3 linked regions of the Schizosaccharomyces pombe genome follow. The protein of the gene in region 3 interacts with the protein of the main gene of each other region in a biochemical or structural test. Each region holds a gene or a part of one and is shown on either strand. Other genes may lie near its edges.

The links.
Region 1: the proteins of orc6 (region 3) and orc4 form a complex in vitro, tested with the Schizosaccharomyces pombe proteins (4 studies listed by BioGRID).
Region 2: the proteins of orc6 (region 3) and orc5 form a complex in vitro, tested with the Schizosaccharomyces pombe proteins (3 studies listed by BioGRID).

Annotation. Positions count from the first base shown.
Region 1 is NC_003423.3:2,023,739-2,027,497, reverse strand, and holds the start of orc4 (origin recognition complex subunit Orc4), read right to left. Parts: upstream 2,111-3,759; 5' UTR 1,956-2,110; coding exon 1-1,955. Other genes in the region: FRG1 family mRNA-processing protein, read right to left, coding at 2,609-2,729, 2,801-3,259, 3,320-3,439, 3,512-3,549. UniProt on the Schizosaccharomyces pombe protein: Component of the origin recognition complex (ORC) that binds origins of replication. It has a role in both chromosomal replication and mating type transcriptional silencing.
Region 2 is NC_003423.3:952,487-956,245, forward strand, and holds the start of orc5 (origin recognition complex subunit Orc5), read right to left. Parts: upstream 1,832-3,759; 5' UTR 1,791-1,831; coding exon 1,434-1,790; exon of another isoform or gene 1,381-1,433; coding exon 1,306-1,380; exon of another isoform or gene 1,266-1,305; coding exon 330-1,265; 3' UTR 1-329. Other genes in the region: Pex16 family peroxisome import protein, read right to left, coding at 2,715-2,728, 2,771-2,883, 2,949-3,506, 3,551-3,759. UniProt on the Schizosaccharomyces pombe protein: Component of the origin recognition complex (ORC) that binds origins of replication. It has a role in both chromosomal replication and mating type transcriptional silencing.
Region 3 is NC_003423.3:2,965,412-2,968,837, reverse strand, and holds orc6 (origin recognition complex subunit Orc6), read right to left. Parts: upstream 1,586-3,426; 5' UTR 1,484-1,585; coding exon 1,302-1,483; exon of another isoform or gene 1,245-1,301; intron 1,244-1,244; coding exon 631-1,243; 3' UTR 576-630; downstream 1-575. Other genes in the region: protein ess1, read left to right, coding at 43-516; iss9 (nuclear export factor), read left to right, coding at 2,316-2,963, 3,014-3,143, 3,212-3,426. UniProt on the Schizosaccharomyces pombe protein: Component of the origin recognition complex (ORC) that binds origins of replication. It has a role in both chromosomal replication and mating type transcriptional silencing.

The sequences.
Region 1 (3,759 bases), 940 kb from region 3:
TCAGAAAAGTTCATTTCTGATTTTAATGCTTCATCAGACTCGATAGATTCAAGTTCAATAGATAATTGTCGCGATATTTCACGCAAAGCTAGTTTGTCATCTGTCTGGTACGTACCATTCAATCTTACGACATAACTTTTTTCATTTATTTCCTGAGCTGCGCGTGATAGTATATCATCCACGAGAACTGATTTTCCAGAACCCCGTGGACCGACAATAATGACAGAATTACCTTCGCCAAGTACTATAGTTTGTCGGACCCATTGATAAAGCTTTGTCTGTTCATCCATATGTCCTACAAGAGGGATATGGCTTTTCCCACACAACCTTGCAGCAATCGTAGATTTAATAGTATGTAACTGTGAGTCAATTTCAGAATATGGGACGTCATTAAATACAGACTCAACGACAGGATTAGGATAAAGTTTATGCTGACTCTTTTTAGGAGAAATAATAGCAACTTCGAAATTAGGTTTTTTGGGAGGAGGTGTAAATTGAGATTGTCGAAGAAGGGGTAATCTGTCAGATGAAGGAAGTAGTGGAGAAACTGAATTGGGTGATGAAGATTCGGATTGCGGAGTTGCTGAAGAGGAGTGAACAGAGGAATCGGTTAAACCAGGTGTGATATTACGAATTTCCGCATTCTCTTGACGCTTTTTCGGTGGTCGTCCACGTTTTCTAGGAAGCAACGGAGCTGATTCTCGCTGTTGATTATTAAGGAACTGTTGATTATTAGGAGATGTAATAGCAAAATGTTTAAGTGACAACGCGTCTGAGTCATGAAGCATATCCTCATGTTTTCTAGTAAAGGCGCTTAAAGGTACAATTCCACTAGCTATTTTTGGAGGTCTACCACGCTTTCTTTTAAAAAGGGATTGTGATTTTGAATCTAAAGGCAAGCCACTCGGTCTTTCAAGGCGAGGTCTTCCTCTACCTCGTTTGGGTCTATTTTCATCTATTTTATTTTCAGTACTTGTCCCAAAAAGTATCTTGGGCTTATTTAAAGGAGGTCGTCCACGTTTCCGCTTTACTGGGACGTCTGCAGTAGAAAATAAAGGTTGATCTGTGACTACAACTTCCTTCCGTATTTCAGATTGTGGATTCAATGAATAGAATTCAGAAGAAGATTGTTCATTTTCTGGATTCAACTGTGAATGAGTATGTAGATTTGTACCTGTCGATTCAACCGTTACATTATTCGAAATTGGAGTATTTGCAATCTTCTGTTCAGATCGATGTAAAGGTGGACGCCCGCGCCCTCTTTTCGCAGGTAATACTACCAAAGGAGAAAGCCCATTTTGACTTGAGCTCCCTTCTTCTGGTTTTATTTTTCGAGGTCGTCCACGCCCTCTCTTTGGCTTCAGCTCACTTAAATTGGCATGCCCTTCGGCAAAACCTTCTATGATATTCGGCTCATCTAACCCCATCTGTAGATTATTTTGAGTTGTTCCCTCATCTACAGACGGTTGCACTACTGGGAGAGGATGTAAACGAGGACGTCCTCTACCTCTTTTAGGCTTTAAGGGATCATCTAGTTTTGTGGAAGGAGAAGAACTTTTTATTTTTGGAGGTCTGCCACGCTTCCGTTTGATTATAGGCTCCGATCCTTCGTCAATTGGTTTTGGTGGATATTTTCGAGGTCTTCCACGTCTGCGAGGAGCTTCATTGAGACGCAAAGGTGAAGGTGAAGGCGGAGCTAAAGTCGTAGTTGAAATATTATTATCCTGAAATAAAGTGACAGCGGCAATATCTTGCAATTTTGCTTGAGAGGCAGTTAATCCATTATTTGCATCATCATTCGTAGAATTGGGATACTGCTGATCATCATTACCACTTGATAAATTTTGAACATTTGAGGTCTCATTAGTTATGTTTGTCTGGTATTCATTTTCCTTATTTTCATAGATTGCTTCTGTGTCCAAATTCCCAAGATTTGTGAATGGGGATGAGCTCATATTAAAAACTTGAAGATGCACATCCCTATGGTTTTTATACACTGTAAAAATAATGATCCTCTAAATTTAGCCTTTTTATTAACAAATGCAATTAATTGGTCTCTTTTCTAATTATTTTTTTCAATTTCCTCTTGACTTGACAGATGCAGGGTGTTACTTCGATTCTTGGTAAAGGTGAGCAGTAAGATTGGCGTACAGCCTTAAGGACAGGGCCAGTATAGAAATATATTTTTGAAGCTGAAATAATGACTAGGTAATAGTAGTAATAATCTAAAACTATTTTAATCTTTTTCAAGCGATGCTGATGACTATAATTATTTACTTGTTGCATTTATTTGTAAAACCATACATGTATGAAGGGAATGAATTTCAACAGATTCATTAAATATTCATTTTTTATTAAAAAAAAATAGTTCGTTAAAATTAAGGAATGAAGTAAAACACTTCACTTTTGAAATGAGTAATTACCATAAAGCTTTGTAAATTCATACATAAAAGTAGTGAATAGCTGAAAGGAGTCTCAATAGCTATACAAGGTGCCTAAAATTCAAGAGAAAAAATCAAATCTGTTTTTGCTAGCTTTGGTCCAGCAGGTAATCGTACATTAATCAGTAAGTCAAGATATTAATGGTTTATCAAGAATATCCGAAAAATTAACCATATTTGTCGCTCCTTGAAGATACTCGTAAATCTAGTAATGCTTCATGAAGAACTCCTTCCTTAAACGCTTTTTTGAGGGTCTTTTTTTCATCGGTAGAAAGTTTTCTTCCAGCCCTGTAAAATTACAAAGTTAGAATGACGAAAGTAGAAGGGAAACCCCAATAAAATAGAATAGCATAACTTACATAGATTCTAATTGTCTGGAATGTATGGTTGGGTTGTCAAATAAAGAAGACTTGTTTTTCTTTAGGAAACGAGTTTGTACTCGAATTCTCCATTTGGCTTCAGGAATGACAGTGTCAGAGACACATGCAATGGCCTGATCTTGTTTTTCTCTACTTAATGTTAAATATTTTTTCGTTGATACACTTTTCCAAGCCCAAAATCCTGAGCCCAGATTCTCCGCTATCCATTGTTCCTGTGATCCTACCGCCTCTTGCGTACAATACAAGTCTCCAGACTTACTACATGACATGTATTTACCTAAACAGCTTTTCAATAGTATAGTATTGTTCAGTATGGATAACAAAAACACCTGGCGCGTCAATTCTGGCTCTAGCGAAACTTTGTCGAGGGGAAGAAGAACGCAACTTTCTTTAACTTCTTCAATTCCAAGAGATACACCAGCATCATCGTCTATTTTACTACATAAAGTTGTAAGTAAATTAGAAAAAAAGGTATAAGAATATTGAAGTTAAGCTTACTATATAACCGCTGGACCCTCAAGCTCATTTAGCTCGTTTGCGTCCGTCCAAAAAGGATCGTTTTCAGCTGATTCTAGAGAAGATTGAAGTGATTTTGTGTTCTTTTTTTTCTTCTTTTGACTGATTTCTTGTTAGTGATGAACAATATAATATGAATTACCACATTCGAGCAGTTATTTCATTTTATCTTACATCTTTTTGTCTCCCTTGAAAGTTAATCGCATAGACATTTTACCATCAGTAAATTACCAAGAATTTAAACGATTAAAAATCCTTAAAAATGATAATTGTTAATAATGGATAATGACTAAATATTTATGCGTGGTTTTCGAGGAAAAAGCAAGTAGTGGGAGTAGTGTTAAGGATTTGAACAGACCAGATGCTTCTTCGTGCTGAAATCCAATATGTTCTGAGGAATAGGCAAGGTACTCTTAGCAAAA
Region 2 (3,759 bases), 2.0 Mb from region 3:
CACATTACTTTATTTTTTTGTCAAGAGTGTTTTCGGCGCTAGTTTTTGCTTTTTACAGCTTTGCCAACTTCCATAATGTTAAATACGTAACAGTTTACACAGAATCACAGAGGCGTAATCGAATTGTTTGTAGTGTACATTTTCTTTTATTTTCCAGAAGTAACAAAAAAAAATATGTTTTTTAAGTTTTGGGCCCTTTAAACAGTAAAATAACATGTTATGGGGAGATAGAATGGATGTTCATATAGTTCTGTATAAATTAATGAATTGTGACAGAACTACGATATTCAAAATTTCAGTAATGCAATAAAATAAACCATAATACTAAGCTATCCCGCCAAATAACTATCGAGAGGAAACGAAAGTGAATCTGCGATTTTTAATACATATTCGCGAGAGACATTGACAATGTATCTAGGGCTATCCAAAGAGCGAAGCACACCTTTGGAAGCCGAAAGTATCATTTTTAAGGAGGCGAGTGTAGCTATTTGAACAAAAACATCAGCGGTCAGAACTTTCTCTACCGGGGAAGAAATGGCATAATAAATAGCAATCAACCTTTCTACTTCAAAAGGTTTAGGTCCTAATGTAAGTTGGGATATTTTTACAGCAGACCGGCCTTTGCTCCCAGCGGTTCTTGGTATTTTGGAAAATAAAACCCCTTCATCTTGAATTTGTTTACGTTTTCTTCCACGTCGTTTCGAAGTTTTAGAAAATGAAAAAAATTGGGCGTCTAACCGGCTTGGATTATAAGATGCTAGGAATGCAGAAACGAGTAAATATTTGGAAACGAGCGACAAGTTAATAGATTTGGAATCAAGAAGATTTTTTATTTCAGTCGGGTTGATTATGTGAAGTCTTTTAGTAACCGTAGCATCTGACACTAAAAAGTTTTTAGCCAGCTTGTGAAGTTGAGCATAATCAGCAGGATGTATGTCTCCTTCAACTATAGGTTGAATGAACTTTGGCCAATATCTATCCAAAACACTACGAAAAGACCTATAGTCATTTAAGCACTGCACTCCAAAAACACTCCAAAGAAACGAGCAATATTGCATCCAGACGCTGAGCTCAATTTCGTCTTCAAAAACACTATCGCCAGATCTATCCAAAAAATCTAAATTAGGAGGTGTTTTTTGGCATATCTCTAATATTTCCGCTTGGGTATATTGTGGGAAAAAAATCACTGCAATAGACAATGTTCCCAAGTATTGAGCAGGGTGAGAATGAAGTACAAAAATGATTGACAGATTGGGAATGTTTGCCTAAAATAGTTAATCAGTGGGTCTGTAAATATTTACTTACAACAATCGGAAGCTGAGCTAATTGTGAGAATAGAATAGTAGAAGCCTCAGCGAAATCATCTATTTGATCCAGCACCTATAACTCATATTAGTATTTAAGAGTAATAAAATAGGAGAGGAACTAAGTACCAAAAATGTATGATAGTCCCTTTTGGACATTGCCTGTTCCAGTAAATAAATAAATCCACTGATATTAATGCCTTTTTTTAATGCTATATCTTTGTCAACACCGACTTTTATAAGGATCCGGTACCAGAAATGAGCGACTGTAAAACAGTCTTGCAAATTAATCCAAACATTTTCTTCTTTTGACAAATCAAAAGCGGTCCGCAATAAAAAAGTCTTTGCTGTACTAGCAACTCCGTAAAGCACAATGCTTGGAACACGACAATCCTTATTAAAAAGTAAACATGAAAGTTTCTTTATTTGATCTTCCCTGCAAAAGACATTCTTTTTTAATTCGTCTTCCAACTGATACAAATGCATTTCATGGCAATATGCTTATGCTTTGGCATATGGTGTCGTGCAGTGAAACATTCATCGCTCGAAGCAAAAACTAGTGGACTAATTTATACAAATAAACGAAAGGTAATTAATGGAAAACGAAGAATAATATTCGTACATTTCAAATACAATTTAAACTTTGGAATTATTGAAATCTTAATTGATTGTTTACTATAAGCGTTGTACTTGGTTCAAGGTGTATTTTATTGAGAAGCCTTGTCGTAACAAAATGTGCTTAAACAGTTATTCTAAAATAGAATTATAAAATTTTATTTTTTGTAATATATTTGATTAATAGTAGTAAAGAACAGAAGTTCGTTTCGCTTGAGTTATTAGAAGTTTTCTTTCTCCTAGCTAATTCACTTTCAATACTAACTTCTTCACCGCTAATGCATAGCCAAAATTATTTTTGAATAAATGGCCTAGTGCGGAGTACGTAGAATTAAATATTGCTTAGATTTAATTTGTAATCTAGCCGTTAACTGTTTTAAGTATGTTATTAAAAAAATCAAAATGCATTTTTTAGTAATTGATATGAACTCATCATAATATCCGAATTTCAGTGTATTACATCTTTTCCTTTGTCTGAATTTAACACAGCATTCTTTAGTTGTGAAATTTAAAGTCTTATTTAAACCTTACATATCTGCACCGCAGATTTCAGATACTGATTGACTCATGTATGGATAACGTTGCTAATCTTCGTAGCATGCAATGTTGAAGCTTTTGCTTTATTTTCGATAAAAGTGTACTGAGTTTTATAGAAGAATGAAGACTAATCATCAAAGCAACAAAAGACGTAGTAGATAAATGAAATACTAACAATACTGAAATCAAGAGAGAGAAAAACACCGAGTTAAATAAATAAGAAAAGGATTTCTATAGGTTCTGGTCATCAAGGCTTCCTTAATAGTTTCTAACTGAATGAAAGGTTAGTAGCAGTAAAAATATCAATATCATACCAGAGGATATATAATTTTCGAGACTTTTTTGTCTTTCCTCAACTGAAAGAAGTAGATATTTACCAAAAACGGGTATTGAATTAACCCAGCTTAGGGAACGATTTATCCAGTGTCTAAATTAGTTAGTGAGTTGAAAAACGACATTTTGTTATAAAAACCTTTCAAATAAATTACATACTTGGTAAACTCATCATAAAATCGTCCTTGAGTAAACGCCCAAACCACAAAATGCTGAAACTGACTTTGATTTGTCCGGCGTTCTAGTCCAAACCCCTGGCGACTAGAAGTCGCTGATTCACATCTTCGATCAATTAATTGAGAAATAACTTCAAAAACAAACGCTACAATCCAAGGCCCCCAAGGTCGAACTTTAAGAGAACTCGATTTTTGCTTTCTTTTCCAATGCCACATAAACAACATATAGATAAGCGGACGACAAACTTTAATAAAATTAGAAAAAATCCGTAGATTGGGAAGTCTTTTTGTAAAAATCTCATCTGGTAGAATTGAAGAAAGACGTGGAGTTCGGTTTTGCAAGAAGTCAAGCGATGAATTGACTGTATTAAGTCTGGGAACAACTTTCTTGGAGTTTTTTAACACAACAGCACTTCCTGAATTAGAGTATTTCTTGTGAAGATGAATGAAAGTCTTTACATTGAAATCGCGCTGCAATACAGGATTAGAGAGCGGAAGATCACCTCCAGTAGTCCACATAATGTGAACCCGAAGTAAAAATCTAATATTTGTTAACAATTTTAATCGAAAAGTAGATTTCCGTACTTGACTGATTCCAAGAATAGGACAGAATCATACTGTCTTGATGGATTGTATTTAGAAATTACAAGCTCGATGGGGAACGTCGATATGTTTAGAAAGTATAGAAGTTCCGATACTTTTTCGAAGGAAGGATTCTTTTTTCTGAAATATTCTAAGTACTGAGTACGTTCACTTTTCAAAATTGCTTGCTCTGTTTTTGGTAACTCAGCAAT
Region 3 (3,426 bases):
TAACGGCTTGTTAAGCTGCATTCCTAGAGTTTCTTTCGCAATATGGGAAAATTTGCTCTTAACTTAAACGCTGAGTTGACTGGTGTGAAAAATTTAGCTCCCAAGGATGAAGAATCCTTCTATTATGCTTTTAAAGTCCAATGTAGTGGTTGTCGAGAGATTCACGACAATGCCATTGAAATCTCCCGCAGCGAGACTCACAGCATACCTGGCAGCAAGGGCGAGGCTAATCTCATATGGACGTGCAAAAATTGTCGCAAAACTTGCTCTTTCGTTATAGAGGGGCCATTCTCTCCTTACAATGATTCTCAAGAGACGAAAAAAGTTCTCGTATTGGAATGCAGAGGATGTGAACTAGTCGAATTCATTCCTCAGGGAGAATGGATAGCTAATGGTGCTGAAAGTAATACACTTTTTGACGAAATAGTATTAGAGGATGATTGGTATGACTATGATGAAAATGCCTCTTCAGAAGTGTCTATTACAAATTTGGAGTGGTCTATTAGTAAAGCTTAGAGTCTAATTTAACTTTTTTTTACTCATGTATTTGTATATATCACTAAAGATATCGTGTACCCGTTTATAAATGTTGTTTAATGTACAAAAAAAAATTAATATAGTAAATTGTATTCATGAAGCAGTACCATCTTTTTCAAGCTGGCTTTTGTAATATTGGATTCTTTCTTCAATGCAGGCCTTCCATATTGGATAATTTTGAAGTCGTTTTTCGTAATCTATTTGAATCATGCTTGCTATCCCACTCCAAGGTTTTATCCGTTGCTTTTGAGATTCATAACCCTCTATACCATTTAAAGGGATTTCTTTATACTGCCAACTTTCTGAGAGGACATGCATCCAATACTGAATTTGCAATGCAGAACTTGTATCCTGTAAAACACTCTGTGCCTTTCTTCTCTCGGTGTGATTTATATGAAGTTCGTCTTTTCCAAAAGCTTTTGCCGATACTAGTAAATAAGCTGCGATTATGATGCCTCTTTTGTGTTCGATGCGCATGTCGTTTGTAACAACGGCTTTCACCAATTGTTTAACATAAGGTATAGCAGTTGAGCCCCCTAGTTTGGTACAAAGATAAGTAATGGTTTCCATCAGATCATCTTTAGCTGCTAAGGATTTAGTTAATGGAGATAAGATTTCTTGAAAGTAAGTGAAAAGTTTATAGTATTTCTTTTTTGGAATTGGAGTCGCTAGTAAATTTATTTCCAAATTTAAATCATTGGATAATCTTTTTAAAGAGTCAGAACAAGTTCAAGTAGAGTAATTAAACATCAGAAGTTACTTACAGTTCACAAGCTAAGTGCGCTGCCATATAAGGACGGCATAACTCTTCTGTCGCCTTTAGATTATGTTTATATTTGGACCATTCCAAAAATGACTCTCCTAAACTAATAAGCCGTTCATTATATTCTGTACTTTCAGTGGGAATTATTCTGCGTAAAGACTCTATAATCTGTTGTCGCTCCATGAGAAAATGAATATATTTAATAAAACTTTTATCATTTAATTTTGATTATTAATTATTGAAATCATGTAATCATTCATAATATCATAATAGTGGTGAACGCTTAGTTTGTTTTATGTCAATATGGTGTTTAATACAGAGACATTTAAACGATGTTTTTAATGCTGCTAATACTACCAGCTGTTTCAAAAATATAAAATCTATCTACTTGATGCACCACTGAATTTGGTGTTTATATTCCGTACTTATTTAATATGACTCTTGCTTAATCATTCCGGTTGCTAGTTATCTTAAATAATGTCACCAAAAGCTTAGAATTTAGACCTACATTCTTCAAGATATTACTACAAAACTTTCGAAGCAGTCTTCAAATTTTTTTTTATTTAATAATGAATTACGATTGCTTTATTGGGAGGTAGTGTTTTAGGCTTGATAATTCGGTATATTACTCTCTTTTAGTAGTTTAATCAAGGCTATATGAGGCATACAGAATAAAATATGCGTGAATAGCGTGAGTTAATATTAACTACTTTCCATGTTGGTTTCATAAATTTTAAGCGAACAAACAAGTTTAGGTGGAACCGTTGAATTATTTGATGACTTTTTAAATTTTTAAAGGAAAAAATGATGAACGATCAACTGAATAGTAATAAATTAATCCTTATTGATTGAAAGGTTGGATAATGAAATCGACTTACAACGTTACTGACAGGGTTAAGCTGACGGACTCGCACTTCTCATACAATCTCGGTACTCACCACTTTAGCAATTGAGGAAGTTGAGAAAAGTACTTAACTTTAGCATTAATCATATAGCTCAATGAAAAATATTAAATATGAAAAAAGAACATCATAGCCCTTGGCCGGACTCTTTGAAAGAATTTATTGGTAGATGCATCCAAGACGCTGAGGAAAACAGCCAGCCAGAATTAGAGGATGAAGTAAAATTGCTAATTTCTCGTCAATACGAAATGGGAAACATATGGAATGTTGATTGGTCTTCTATGAATTTAGAATCCCTAAGGAAACTGACAAATGCTCAAAATACAATCATCGAAGATAAAAAAAGAAAGGTTGAGAAGCCTGTTTCTGGAAATCAATTTTCACTTTTAAGTGAAGAAGATGAAGTGGATAAGAAAGAAAAAAGAAGAAGAAGGTTTGAAAATGGTTCTCGTTCTCAAAATAACGCTAAATCTGAAGAGCTAAAAGTCAACCCGGAGAATGGTGCTATTATAGGACGGTCCACAGAATTAGAGAAAAGGTATTTGCGATTAACTTCGGCTCCTGATCCGGATACTGTTCGACCCCTTCCAGTTCTTAAGCAAACTCTCGAACTTTTAAAGAAGAAATGGAAAGAAGAGAAAAACTATGCATATATATGCGATCAATTTAAAAGTTTAAGACAGGATTTAACTGTGCAAAGGATTCAAAATGAGTTTTCTGTATTAGTTTACGAAATACATGCTCGTATAGCTCTTGAAAAGGTACGGTTAATTACTTTAAAATATCATTTCTTCTTCTAACGTTCGACTAGGGTGATGTTGGCGAGTATAACCAATGTCAAACTCAATTATTTCATCTTTACAGTTTTGGTATACCAGGGAATACTAAGGAATTTTTAGCATATCGTATTCTGTATATGCTCTTCACTAAAAATCGATCTGGTAAGTTAATTACGGCTTACTGCTTAAAAGAATATATCTTTTGAATTCAAATTATTAACAATTTATAGAAATGAATAGCCTTCTCGCCAATCTAAAAGAAGAAGACAAAACAAACGCTGCTGTTACACATGCATTAGAAGTCCGTTCGGCGATGGCTACTGGCGATTACTATAAATTTTTCCATCTATATTTAGTCGCTCCCAACATGGGAGGTTATTTGATGGATCTTTTTATTGAGAGAGAACGAGTGCAGGCGATGATAATGATGTGCAAAGCATATCGC